Linked DNA regions of Caenorhabditis elegans. The protein of the gene in region 2 interacts with the protein of the main gene of each other region in a pairwise test. Each region holds a gene or a part of one and is shown on either strand. Other genes may lie near its edges.

Region 1 (3,675 bases), on a different chromosome or scaffold from region 2:
CTTCTTCGCACACCGGGCAGACACTATCAACAACAATTGGAGCAGCCTCATAGTCATCTGCTGACAAGTTTCTGTAGATCTGAAAAATATTTAGGAAATTGTGCCGTAAATTCTAGCAAAAACACTTACATCTTGAGAATCCGCAGCCATTTTACTTTAAAAAATGAATTTGTTGATTAAAATCGAAAATTATCTGCTTTAAAGTATTAATTTTAGAGAGAAATCTGGAAAAAACTGGAAAAATCTGGAAAAGAAAAACAAAAAAAATTCAAGTCTGCAAAGTTGCGTGACGGTGTTTGCGGACAAACGCCTGCGCCTCTTCATTTCGCGTTGTGCCTCGCGGTTTTTAATTATAAAATTTTTTAATAATTAGAATTCAGTACACATTCTTGTAAAGCCTTCCTATCTTGTGTCACTGAAGCTTTTTCGCAAAAAAAGCGCTTCCAAAGTAGCAGAAGAAACTGAGAAAAATGAATAAAACATTAAATGTCTGCGCTAAAATCTGTATTTTATTTTTATTTCAAAAAACGAATAAAAATCTTGTGATGAAGTTTTATTGACGGAAAATCGAATGAATATTTCATTTTTATCAAATTCCAACAGTATCTTGTTGCTCGTAGTCGTAGTTTCGGGATTCCAGAGACAGAAGTGCTGGATTGCCGGGCTTTTGAGCATTTGTAACCGATTTTTCTTGTGGCGGCGCTTCTTTTTCAGTTTCTGTGTGTTTTGAGATCATTTCATGGCGAAGACAGCATGGAAGATGCACTTTCACAGCTTTAAACTTGATTTTTTGAAGTTTTTCAATCATTTTCAGCCCATTTTCAAGTCGTTCTTTCGAAATTCCGAGTTGCTCGGTGGTTTTTGCATTTTCCAGACATTCGATCAACTGATTTTCCTTTGCAAAATCCGTCTGTTTGATGAGCTAAAAATTAATTAAATAAAATATAAAACGCAATACTAAATTTCACCTGAAAACTGCCAGGTTTGCCACCATGAAAATGTTCCAGGTGGTGCTTTCCTTCATCTTCGGTGTGAAAATTCAAGTTCCGGCATCCAGAGCATCGAAACGGGCGGTATATTATATGAGTCTGGAGCATGTGGAACTCGTATGCCGCCCATGTTGACCAGGCCACGGAGCAGGTTTCGCAGACAGGCCTTGGAGCATTTTCGGGAATCGATTCCCCGTAGGAGTCTGGATTGAATTCGGGAACTGATGAAGTTGGGAGTTTTCCTGAAGGTTAAAAAAAATTAATTTCACAAATAATATTTATAAATAATCACGTTTTAATGCAGAAGCTGGCTGAACAACTCGGATGGTGCACTGGCGTTGAGGGGAGCTCTGAAAAAAGAAATCTATAAAAAATGGCAGTATTTCTCAGCTTATTTGCAACTCACGAGAGTGACTAGATAATCGTCATGGTCTTGGGCTCCTGATGTAGATGGCTCTGTCATTTCAACCTGAATTTTCTGTTTTTAATCTTTTTAAAGCATTATAAAGCTTTAAAAAAATTTAAAAAAAAAAGAGAAAATTCAATGATAAAACAGTGTGCAAAAATGAGAGACGGAGAGTATTTGGCGTCGGTTTCAGTGTTTGGTACGCAAACACCGACCCATTGCGTACTCTTCGAATTAAATTTTTTTTGCGAATTTTTAGATTTTTCAACGTTTTTGCGGTTAAAAACCTCTTTTCCTCATTGAAAACTTTTCAATTTTCAACTAAATGTTTTCCTTTTTCAGATGTCAGGCGAGGATGACTACAATTCAGACGATGAGGCTAACAAGAACCTATCTAAAAAGGAGCTTCAGGAGTTGAAGAGAAAACAGCAGAAAAGCAAAAAGAAGAAGGAATCGAAGAAGAGAGCAAAAGCCACGAAGCAAGCTGAAATAGAAACACGAGAGGAGCCGAAAAAAGAGGAGGAAAATGGTGACGATCTTGACGTGGAAATCGATTATATCGGTGAAACAATTGAAATTGAGCCGGATAACCCGCACGCTCAATACTTTTCCGCAATTTTTGATGCTTTTAAGGTAACATATCACTATTTGTTAATGTTTTTCCAATATATCGGCTTCCAGATCTCCACCGACTCAGAAGACGGCTTCTCCTACGGCCATCACGTTTCCAAAGGCGAGAAAAAGGATGATTTGGGAAAAGTCGGTCAGGCCGAGCGAATTATTCAAGAGGAGATGGAAGAACGTGCCAAAGAAAACACAGAGGAGAAGCTTTCGCGTAGAAAACTCCGAATTTCTCTTCAACCGAGTATTGCAAAGCTTAAAGAGACGACACTTCGAGCCGATGTTGTTGAATGGGCCGATGTGACTTCTCGTGATCCGTATCTCCTTGTCGCAATGAAATCTTATAGAAATTCAGTTCCAGTTCCACGCCATTGGAATGCAAAGCGTAAATATCTCGCCGGAAAGCGAGGATTCGAACGGCCACCATTTGAGTTGCCAGATTTTATTAAAAGAACCGGAATTCAGGATATGAGAGAAGCGCTGCTGGAAAAAGAAGAAAGCCAGAGCCTTAAATCAAAAATGAGAGAGCGGGCCCGCCCGAAGCTTGGAAAAATCGATATTGATTATCAAAAACTTCACGACGCGTTCTTCAAATGGCAAACCAAGCCGGCTATGACAAAAATGGGCGAGCTCTACTATGAAGGAAAAGAGATGGAGGCGATGATGAGAGACAAGAAGCCGGGTGAAATGTCGGATGAGCTTAGAATTGCACTGGGAATGCCCATCGGATCGAATGCGTTCAAGTTTCCACCGCCATGGTTGATTGCGATGCAACGTTACGGACCACCGCCCAGTTTTCCGCATATTAAGATTCCTGGATTGAATGCGCCGATTCCTGGTACGGTAAAATGTTCTGGATGTACTATTTTAGAGCAGAAATCTAAAAAACATTATGAAAAATTTTACATTTCAACATAAAATTACCAAAAACCTAGAAAATTGCCTGCTAAATTTCATTTTCAACGTAAAATTAACAAATCTGTGAATTTTTGCACCTGTACCGACCACAAGAACTGAGATCGTGGCGAGACCCGCTTTAAGCGCCAAATTTTTGCAAAATGATAAATAATTTTCTTTTGATAAAAAATTTTCTTCGCATAATTTAACACACAAATATTCATAAATTCTGCCAAAAAAAATTATTATGAAATTTTCAGATATTTTTTTCGCAAAAACATGTTATCCTGAAAGAAATTAAGACAAACTTGACAATTTTATGTTCAGTAAATACATTTTACGAAAAAAAAATGTCTGAAAATTCAGAAAAAATTTGGTTTTGGTTGAAAAAATTATGAAATCAAATTTAGAAAAATAAAAAATAACTTCTTTCACGATTTTCAAGCAAAAAATACGATACTGGGTCTCGACACGACAAATTAATGTTTAATGCGAGGTGCTATATTTTGATCAATTTTTCCAAATTTATCAATTAAAAACTCAAAAAAAAAACAAGTTTTGGTAAATTTTGGGAGATGCCACATTGAAAAGTTGGTTAAATTTTCAATTTTAACGGATTGTAGGTCATTTTTTGAGCCACCATAACTTTTTTTGAGGTTTTAAAAAAGTGTGCTTATGAAATTCGGTAGTTTAAACGATTTCGAGTCTAATAAAGCAATAAAAAATTTCGACTACAACTTTAAAGCCGTAAAAATGGAAAAA
Region 2 (7,872 bases):
ATTGTTAAATTAGCAAATACGCAAAATTGAACAAATATGGTAGCCGGTCTCGACACGGCAATTTTTTTTACTTGCAAAAAAGTTGTGTGCCTTTAAAGAGTAAATAAAAACGCGGAAGTTTTTAAAATTTTTTAAAGTTTTACGACAATGAAATCCCACAGAAACGAGAGTTGGTAACTACAGTATACTTTTTGAAGGCGCACACCCGTTTGTGTTTCACAAAAATTGTCGTGTCGAGACCGGGTACCGTATTTTTGGCACAAAGTTTTTTTTTGAGATCAGGTCTGTCACAAAACAAAGGTTCGTTTTTTTTTCTCCTTACAATTAAATTTTTTTTCCAAAAAACCACAAAACCCGATCTTAATTTACCTCTCAGAGTGAATCCAAGACAAATCACATGGAACCAGTTTTTGCAGCCTGCTTCACACATCACCCAGTTCACTGAGTCTCCATATGGCTTCAAACAGGCGCGAGCTTGACACGACTTGAATTCAGACTCGTCTTCGTAATATTCACTGGGTGATGCTTGACTTTGACGTTTGCGTGATTTTTTCGACGTCTCTTTGTGTGAAACACTTGGCCTTTTGCGTTTAGCTGTGATTTTTGGATCGAAGAGTGATACCGATGGTTTTGAACGAACCGGGCGATTTTTGAGTTCTAGTGCGGCGCTGAAAAAATTAAAAATAAAATTAATACATATAATGTGTACAAACCTTGACTGTTTTTGAAGATATTCCATATAAAATTCTGAAATCAGCTCGCGTGCCTTCGGAAGACCATTGGGATTCAGAATTTCACACGATAGCCAATCGAATAAGGCAATTTTACAAATATCGTCGCTGGATTCTCCTGATTTCCGTTTATTAGCAGCTTCCATCAAATTTTGAGTGATTCCACGAGTTTTTTGTATTAGATTTCGAACAAGATGTGTTTCCAAACATCCAGAAGGTGTTCCATTCAGAGCAGTTGTTACATCATCAATGACTGGACGTTGTCCCCGTAGACATCGAACACATAAAAAGCATCCTTCTGGAAGTTTTTCAAGGAACGGTGACCACTCGCAACATCGAACATGAAACTCTGAATCGCACATTATGCATGTCAGTGTTGATTCGGAATCATCTGATTTGTTGAATCCAAGACATGAGCATGCTTCAAGACCACGAGCTGAATTTGCTTGTTTCACCTTTTCAAAAATTCTCATTTGCATTTCACGTAGCGATGATTGATGATGCACAATTTGATCTAATGACTCGAATTCTTTCATTTGATGCCATTCATCAGATGGATGTACTGCGCCTCCTTGAAAATATAATGGTATCGTTTGTCCTTCAGCAAGTGGAGTTAAATCATCGCGTTCGGAGAGAATCTGGAAAATTCAAGTTTAAGGCAAATTAGATCGAAGCTAATGTCTATGCTACTTCCTGATTGGATTAATGTTACCCAAATATACGGTCACCGGTCTCGACACGAAATTTTTTCGTTTAATTTAAAAAGGTGCGCGCCTTTAAAGATACTGTAATTTCAAATTTTTGGTTCTGCGAAATTTTCCTTGATTTTTCTTTTTTTTTCTTAGTATTTGTCTCATGTTTTTAATTATTTCAACATAGTTTTTTATTAAATAAATAAATTTATAACGAAAACTATGAAAAATCTATGAAAATTCCGCAGTAACGAAATTATGAAGCTACAGTAATCTTTAAAGGCGCACATTCGTTTGTATTTAACTAAAATTGTCGTGTCGAGACCGGGTACCGTATTTTTTGCGAAAAATCGTCAAATTTCACGAATCTCACTCACTTCAAAAAGATTGTGATACGCATTATTTGGCTTGAACAGAATAGCTATCCTCTGAGTAAATGCATTCATTGTGCTGATCATATCCAAAATCCCGAGATGCTCTTCGGAACCGTTTAGACATTTTGAAGTTTCGAATGCTTTACTGATTTCGGCCGCCTTCGATAGTGTAATTTCAACATTGACAATTTTCTGCAGTTGTGTTTTTAAATCAAATTCTGATAGCACGGGAATTGCGGCATCTATCATTGACTTGATTTTGGCAACATGAATGATCTCATAGCGAACCATGTTAATATCTTAAAAATTATTTTGTAAGAATTACTAATGCATTAAATAACAAACATTTTTCATAGAACCAATCAGTTTCTCTAAGGCTTTGCCAAATTGATTGAAGCTGATCAAGTGCTGGATTCTCACAGAAATTGTTTGCAATGACCTCGAGTGTATTGGCGTCACGGAGCATTTGTTGAAGTTCAAAGACGAGTTTAGAAGTACCATCTGTGGGATTTCGTGGACTATCACGAATCAATCTGAAACATATAATTGAATTTTTGAATTAAAGGGGTATAGAGTATTTGGAAATATTTTTAAGGTCTCATCATGAAATTCGGTCGTTTTGGGCCGAGCCCATTCGAGGAAAAATCCACAAACACAAATTTCCTTTTAAGAGAAAAAATATTTTTAAAATCTTACGATAAAATATCACTGGATGCATATCGAAGCTTATACTCAAAATCAATATCTTTCTCCATATCGGGAGTTGCCTTCCATGTAGTAACTTTTCTTGCTCTATCCGACCAATCCTTCATTTGAATAACTTTTCGCAACTCATCGATTTCTTCCAATTTAATATCATATTCATCTCCCTCTTCAATAATCTTCTCGATTTCTTCTTTTGAGTATTCTTGTTCTCGATAGATAGCATCTTTTGCTCTGTTTCTCCACATTTCAACTTGTTCCATCCATTTCTCAAGTTTATCAATAATAACAGTCAAATTGCAATCCATGGCTTGCATTTGTTCAATCAATGACCGTACTCCCTCGGTGTCTGTACGAGTGTCGGCTCTCTGACATCGGGTTTTTGTTCGCGTTCGTACTTTCTTAAAGAGCAATTGATTTGCTTTTTCAATGGCACTCTTGGCTGTATGACGAATTGTTATCAATTTATGAACTTGATCTGTCTGTGGATACTTGTTTTGTTTGGCAGAATCTATAAACTCTTCAATTCTCTCGAGTTTTGGTTTTCCTTCTTCTTCAAGCATCTCATCCGACTCTTCTTTCCATCCATTGTAGTTAACCGTACGCTTTCCAAGTTCATCACACATATTGTTCAATTGATCCAACTCGAATCTGTACTGATATCTGTAGTCTTTCGTTGTACACGAATTGCAAAGATGATCATGATGTTCAACACAAGTCATTTTCTTGTGTTTGTTACAAACCAATGCACACATGAAGAGAGTCGTCTTACAAAAACGACACGATCTTTGTTCATCTGGAATCTTTTCGAACATCACTTGCTGCATTTGGCGATTGGAAACTCCGAGGCGAGCGAGAAGTTCTCTCAACATTTTTTGTTTTTCATATATTCTTATCAGTTCTTCATGTGTTGCTAAACTCATCGAAATTCCAAGTTTATCCATTGCTTCAACCATTTTAAAGAGAAGCTCATCATGAGAAAATACAAGATATCTTCGTACATTTGAGTAAGACTCAACGCATTCTCGACCTTTTGATAGCCAATCAATTGGAGCGAAATTGACAGCTTCCGCAAAGTTGAGTCCCTCATTGAAACCAGCATGATAAGCACGTGGGAATGTAATGACGAATTCACCAGCATTCTGGTGAACTGAATGAATTGGAACTCCCAATGAACGAAGAAGATGAGGATTTGCAGCTGTAGTCATATGATGGAATAGATCTCTTTGTCTTCCAGTTAATCCAGGTGCTATTTTCTTCAATGCATCTTCAAACTTTTCAGCATCTTCTCCACCAACACCGTACCAAATTTTCCGTTCTCCAAAATGATTATAGTTAACAGAATACGTCCAATGATCTTCGGTGTGCCAGCAGAACGTCGAGAAGCACATACCAACATAGACCCACGGTACCATCATTCCAGAAATTCCAGTATTAAAATGTGAGAGAACAGATTCTCGAAGTACAGGCATATTGTTCAGATTCCATGCATGTGAAGCGTATTGCTGCTTCAGCTTCAGATCTGGGCCAGTGTGCTTATCTTCTTTTCGAGGAAATCCACTTCCTACTCGACTCGTAATCAAGTCGGCACCGTATTTGACAGAAACTGGATTTTCGTGTGAAATTACATTCTTCCAGAATGATCGTTCCACAGCATCACACGACACTTGTGATACATCTTTTACACCGAAATAATCACATTTCCATTTGTTGGCAAATTCAGTGAATGAGTTCAGATTGTATTCTGTGTCCGCATCATAAAATCCCCAGTCTAATCCGATTTTTGCATCCTCTGATTCAATGCACTTTGGACATCTCCACTCGCCTTCTGGTACTTCATCGAGTACTGGATCACAACAATATGTATGACGACCATTATTGCATCCATCAATATCGCAAAGAAGTAGTAGATCTTCATCCTTTCCTTCATTACAAGCAACGCAGAATACTTGATCCATTGGATCTTCATCATCATCATCGTCTCCTTCGGCTTTCTTCTTATTTTCTGTAATTTGTGAAAATAAATTTAAAAAATTTAAATTTAAAAAACGAACTTCTTCCTCTGGTTGAATTCTTCTTTGAAGATGTTCCAAGAGTCTTTCTTGAAGATGAAGCCTTCTTATTTTTAGATCTCCGTCGACCACTTTGCATCGACACTGGACACTCATCTTCCCCTCCTTCAGTAGTTTTATCATTTGGAACTTCTATTTCTGTCCGCATAGTTCCGTGGTGATGTTGATATCTATGAAATTCATTCGTTTTTAATTAGAATAATGGGGGAAATTATTAATAACAAAATTAAAAATTTTACTATTTATCGGTTTTAACATTTTTTCATGGTTCTAAAAAACAAAAACATGGGTACATAAGAAAAATTTAAAATGCATATAATTTCAAAAAAATCCATCTACATTATGTTTTCTTAACTGATTTGTAGATTTTTATTTATTTAAATTTCTTAATTACTCACTTATGCTTTAATTCTTCCATTTCATCATCACTTTCATCATCATTTTTCATCGCTTTTTCTTTCAAATTTCGATTAAATGGTTCAATGTGCAAATTATAATGTGATCGAATCAAATTTATGAAAGCCGACGGAACACCGCGAGCCATTTGCTCCTTTGGAAGGTATTCGCGGGCAACGTCTCTCCATTTTTCATCTTCATTCACTTCTTCACATCCTCCAAAGTTTTGAACTATACGATGTAATCGATACAAATCGACAATATTTCCATCTCGATCCACTGGAAACTCAAAAGTTAGACCAGAATATCGATTGAAATTGATTAATCGGTCAATAAATGTGTGTTTCTCTTTGACAATTGCCTCCACTTCATTCAGTTTTTGAGTTCGGGGACGAAATGTAAAGGCTTCTTTGTCGATAGCAAACGGTGGTTTGAAATTCTGCAAAAAAAGAGAGTTGATGCTTCTCGATTCGTTTTTTGAGGGAAAAATCAAAAATTTTCAGATAAAATTGCACTTTTCAAGTGGTGACCATTCTTTTAGTAAACTGAAAATTTTCTAATATTTAGTATTTAATTGAAGGGAGTAGTAGAAGTTTTTAAACTACTACAAACATTGTTTCGCTTTTTTTCAGACTTTTCAAAAACGATTAAAAACTTGTTAAACGTCAGACGTACAATTTTCCGAATAAATAACTTACCGCCGGCGGAACAATTTTAACAACTCCAAATTTTTCGGCCTCGTGTCGTATTTTGGCAACATACTCGATTGGATCTGAGAACTCTTCTTCTGTCGGGTAGTAAATTGGAGCCATTGGAGGTCGTACGAATTTCTGAAAACTATGAAAGCTTATTCACCTTATGTATGTCTTAGTAATCAAACCTTATAGAATTGATCGTACATTTCCATTTTGCTTCCATGATTCTTAGATCTTGAATTTCCGATGGATGCTTTCTTCCGCGGAGAAGTGCTCGTCGACGGTGCTGACGGCGTCGAGATACTGTTCTCTTGACGACGTGCACGCATTTTTCAGTTTGGCTTATAGCTTCATGAGATCTGTAAATTTCATTTTTGTTTGACTTTAATATTAATTGAAATTAAAAGCTTTGAGAAGAAGAACATTTTAAGTACCGACGAGAAATTTCCATGTGATGAAACAAGATGCATCACGAGTGTTATGATAGACGTCATAGAAACCCGGAAATGAAAATTAGCTTATACTCCTTTAAAATTGGCTTTTAAGCTTTTTCTTATTAAGCTTTTGATTTGAACTTAATATTGTATAAATAATTAAGCTGAAAAATGACTCATATTTAAATATATATATTTCTCCAATTTTTGAGGTCGAGCAGCTTTTCAAAGTTTAGACAAGGATCTTTGGTAGAGTTTTAAATGTAGGTCAAGACACGTAAGGCATCGTATAGTAACTCAAATCATTGAAAACTCCATCTCTCTGAATCTTTTTGATGTGTCACCTAAAATGCATTGAGAGACTGGTATTCTTTGACCACTTTGCAGTAGGTCGGTGTCCTTTTCGTCAGAAATTGCGTGCGGTAAAGATAAGCGGAGAAACAGAAAAAAATATAGATAAAATCGAAAAACCGAGAGGAAATAGCCCCCAGCGCCCACCAGGGTCGGCCCACGAAAATCGAGGAAAGTGCGCTCCGCCGAACATTACTCTCGAGTGTCCACTCTCGTCGTCTTGTCACTCCTCTGTTTGCATGCTATTCGCTAGCAATAATCTCTCGGTCTCCTGCCCAATCACACTTTATTCATGTTATGTGCGCGACGCGTTCTCGCATGTGCCTCCTAGTAATACGTGAATTTTTGCACTAACTTTTTTTTGAGGCCAGCAGCTGAGGAAAGATGGGCGCACACAAAGAAAACGAAGAGAAAGCAGGAAGACGCATGTAAAATGAACACAGACTGAGAGAAAAAGAGAACATGGAATTATGGCTCCGAGAGCCAGCATTTTTAATTGAAGATTTGAGACTGTGTTTGTTTACTACGGTTTTAAAGGGAGGCGTATCAATGCGGAATGGTCTCGCCACGCACTGCGAACTCATGAAAAAATTGGCGTGTGCGCCTTTAAGATGACTGTAGAGATTTTTCTGGCATGTCTAATTACATAAAATACAGAAAATTGGGAAAAGAACAATCGAAAATGAAGAAAAGGGAGAAACGAGAAAATTGGAGATTTGCCAGCAAACCCTCTACAGTAATCTTAAAGGCGCACATACCAGATTTCTGAAAAAAAAATCGCAGAGCGTGGCGAGACCATTCCGCATAAACTCGCCACTTTAAAATCATAGAAGTTGTAAAAAGTACACAGTAATATGTAGAAACTGATTTCGCCGAATTGTGAATCTCCATAGTTTCTAAGGAATGTGAATATTATTTTTCAAAACTAAATCAAACTCATTAAAAAGTTATTATGCGCCCGTTTTGAAATAAACGATGGTTGCGCGCGAGAGAATGAGAAGACATAGATTATAACTGCAAAAGCAGAATCAGCTGTCTGCGTGTGAAGAAGCTGATTAAAAACGAAAGGGCGAAAAAGACTTGTTTCACACGACTACACACATTCTTACGACAAATAGACGAAACGGAGGGAGAATCAGAAGTTTATGACCGAACGCTGAAGACGTGTAATCACAGACGTGGTTAGAAAGTGAGGCTGAACGCGGAACTTAAAGCGAAAATGTGTAACATATTGAACAGTGCACGATTTTCAGATGTTCAGAGCATTCGTTTGACAGTTAACAATTTTTCTAAGATAAATCGTTAATAAAATATATAACTTTTTCACACAAAGATTACTGTATTCCGAGAAGATATCAGTGTCCATCTGACTGAATTTTTCAAAAAACTTCTTCTAAATATACACTAACAGCTCTCACCGCGAAC

What was found. The genes of interacting proteins can lie anywhere in the genome.
Region 1: the proteins of rbr-2 (region 2) and W03F9.2 interact in a two-hybrid assay, tested with the Caenorhabditis elegans proteins (one large-scale study listed by BioGRID).

The regions. Positions count from the first base shown.
Region 1 is NC_003283.11:126,500-130,174, forward strand, and holds W03F9.2 (C2H2-type domain-containing protein), read right to left. Parts: upstream 1,536-3,675; 5' UTR 1,453-1,535; coding exon 1,396-1,452; intron 1,354-1,395; exon of another isoform or gene 1,340-1,353; coding exon 1,282-1,339; intron 1,232-1,281; coding exon 969-1,231; intron 923-968; coding exon 590-922; 3' UTR 501-589; downstream 1-500. Other genes in the region: W03F9.1 (Zinc finger protein ZPR1 homolog), read right to left, coding at 1-79, 130-150; sftb-2 (PSP proline-rich domain-containing protein), read left to right, coding at 1,738-2,028, 2,077-2,854.
Region 2 is NC_003282.8:10,918,226-10,926,097, reverse strand, and holds the start of rbr-2 (Lysine-specific demethylase rbr-2), read right to left. Parts: upstream 6,029-7,872; 5' UTR 5,992-6,028; coding exon 5,848-5,991; intron 5,805-5,847; coding exon of another isoform or gene 5,798-5,804; coding exon 5,666-5,797; intron 5,407-5,665; coding exon 4,970-5,406; intron 4,742-4,969; coding exon 4,554-4,741; intron 4,505-4,553; coding exon 2,494-4,504; intron 2,331-2,493; coding exon 2,143-2,330; intron 2,097-2,142; coding exon 1,801-2,096; intron 1,370-1,800; coding exon 714-1,369; intron 669-713; coding exon 370-668; intron 1-369. UniProt on the Caenorhabditis elegans protein: Histone demethylase that specifically demethylates 'Lys-4' of histone H3, thereby playing a central role in histone code. Does not demethylate histone H3 'Lys-9', H3 'Lys-27', H3 'Lys-36', H3 'Lys-79' or H4 'Lys-20'.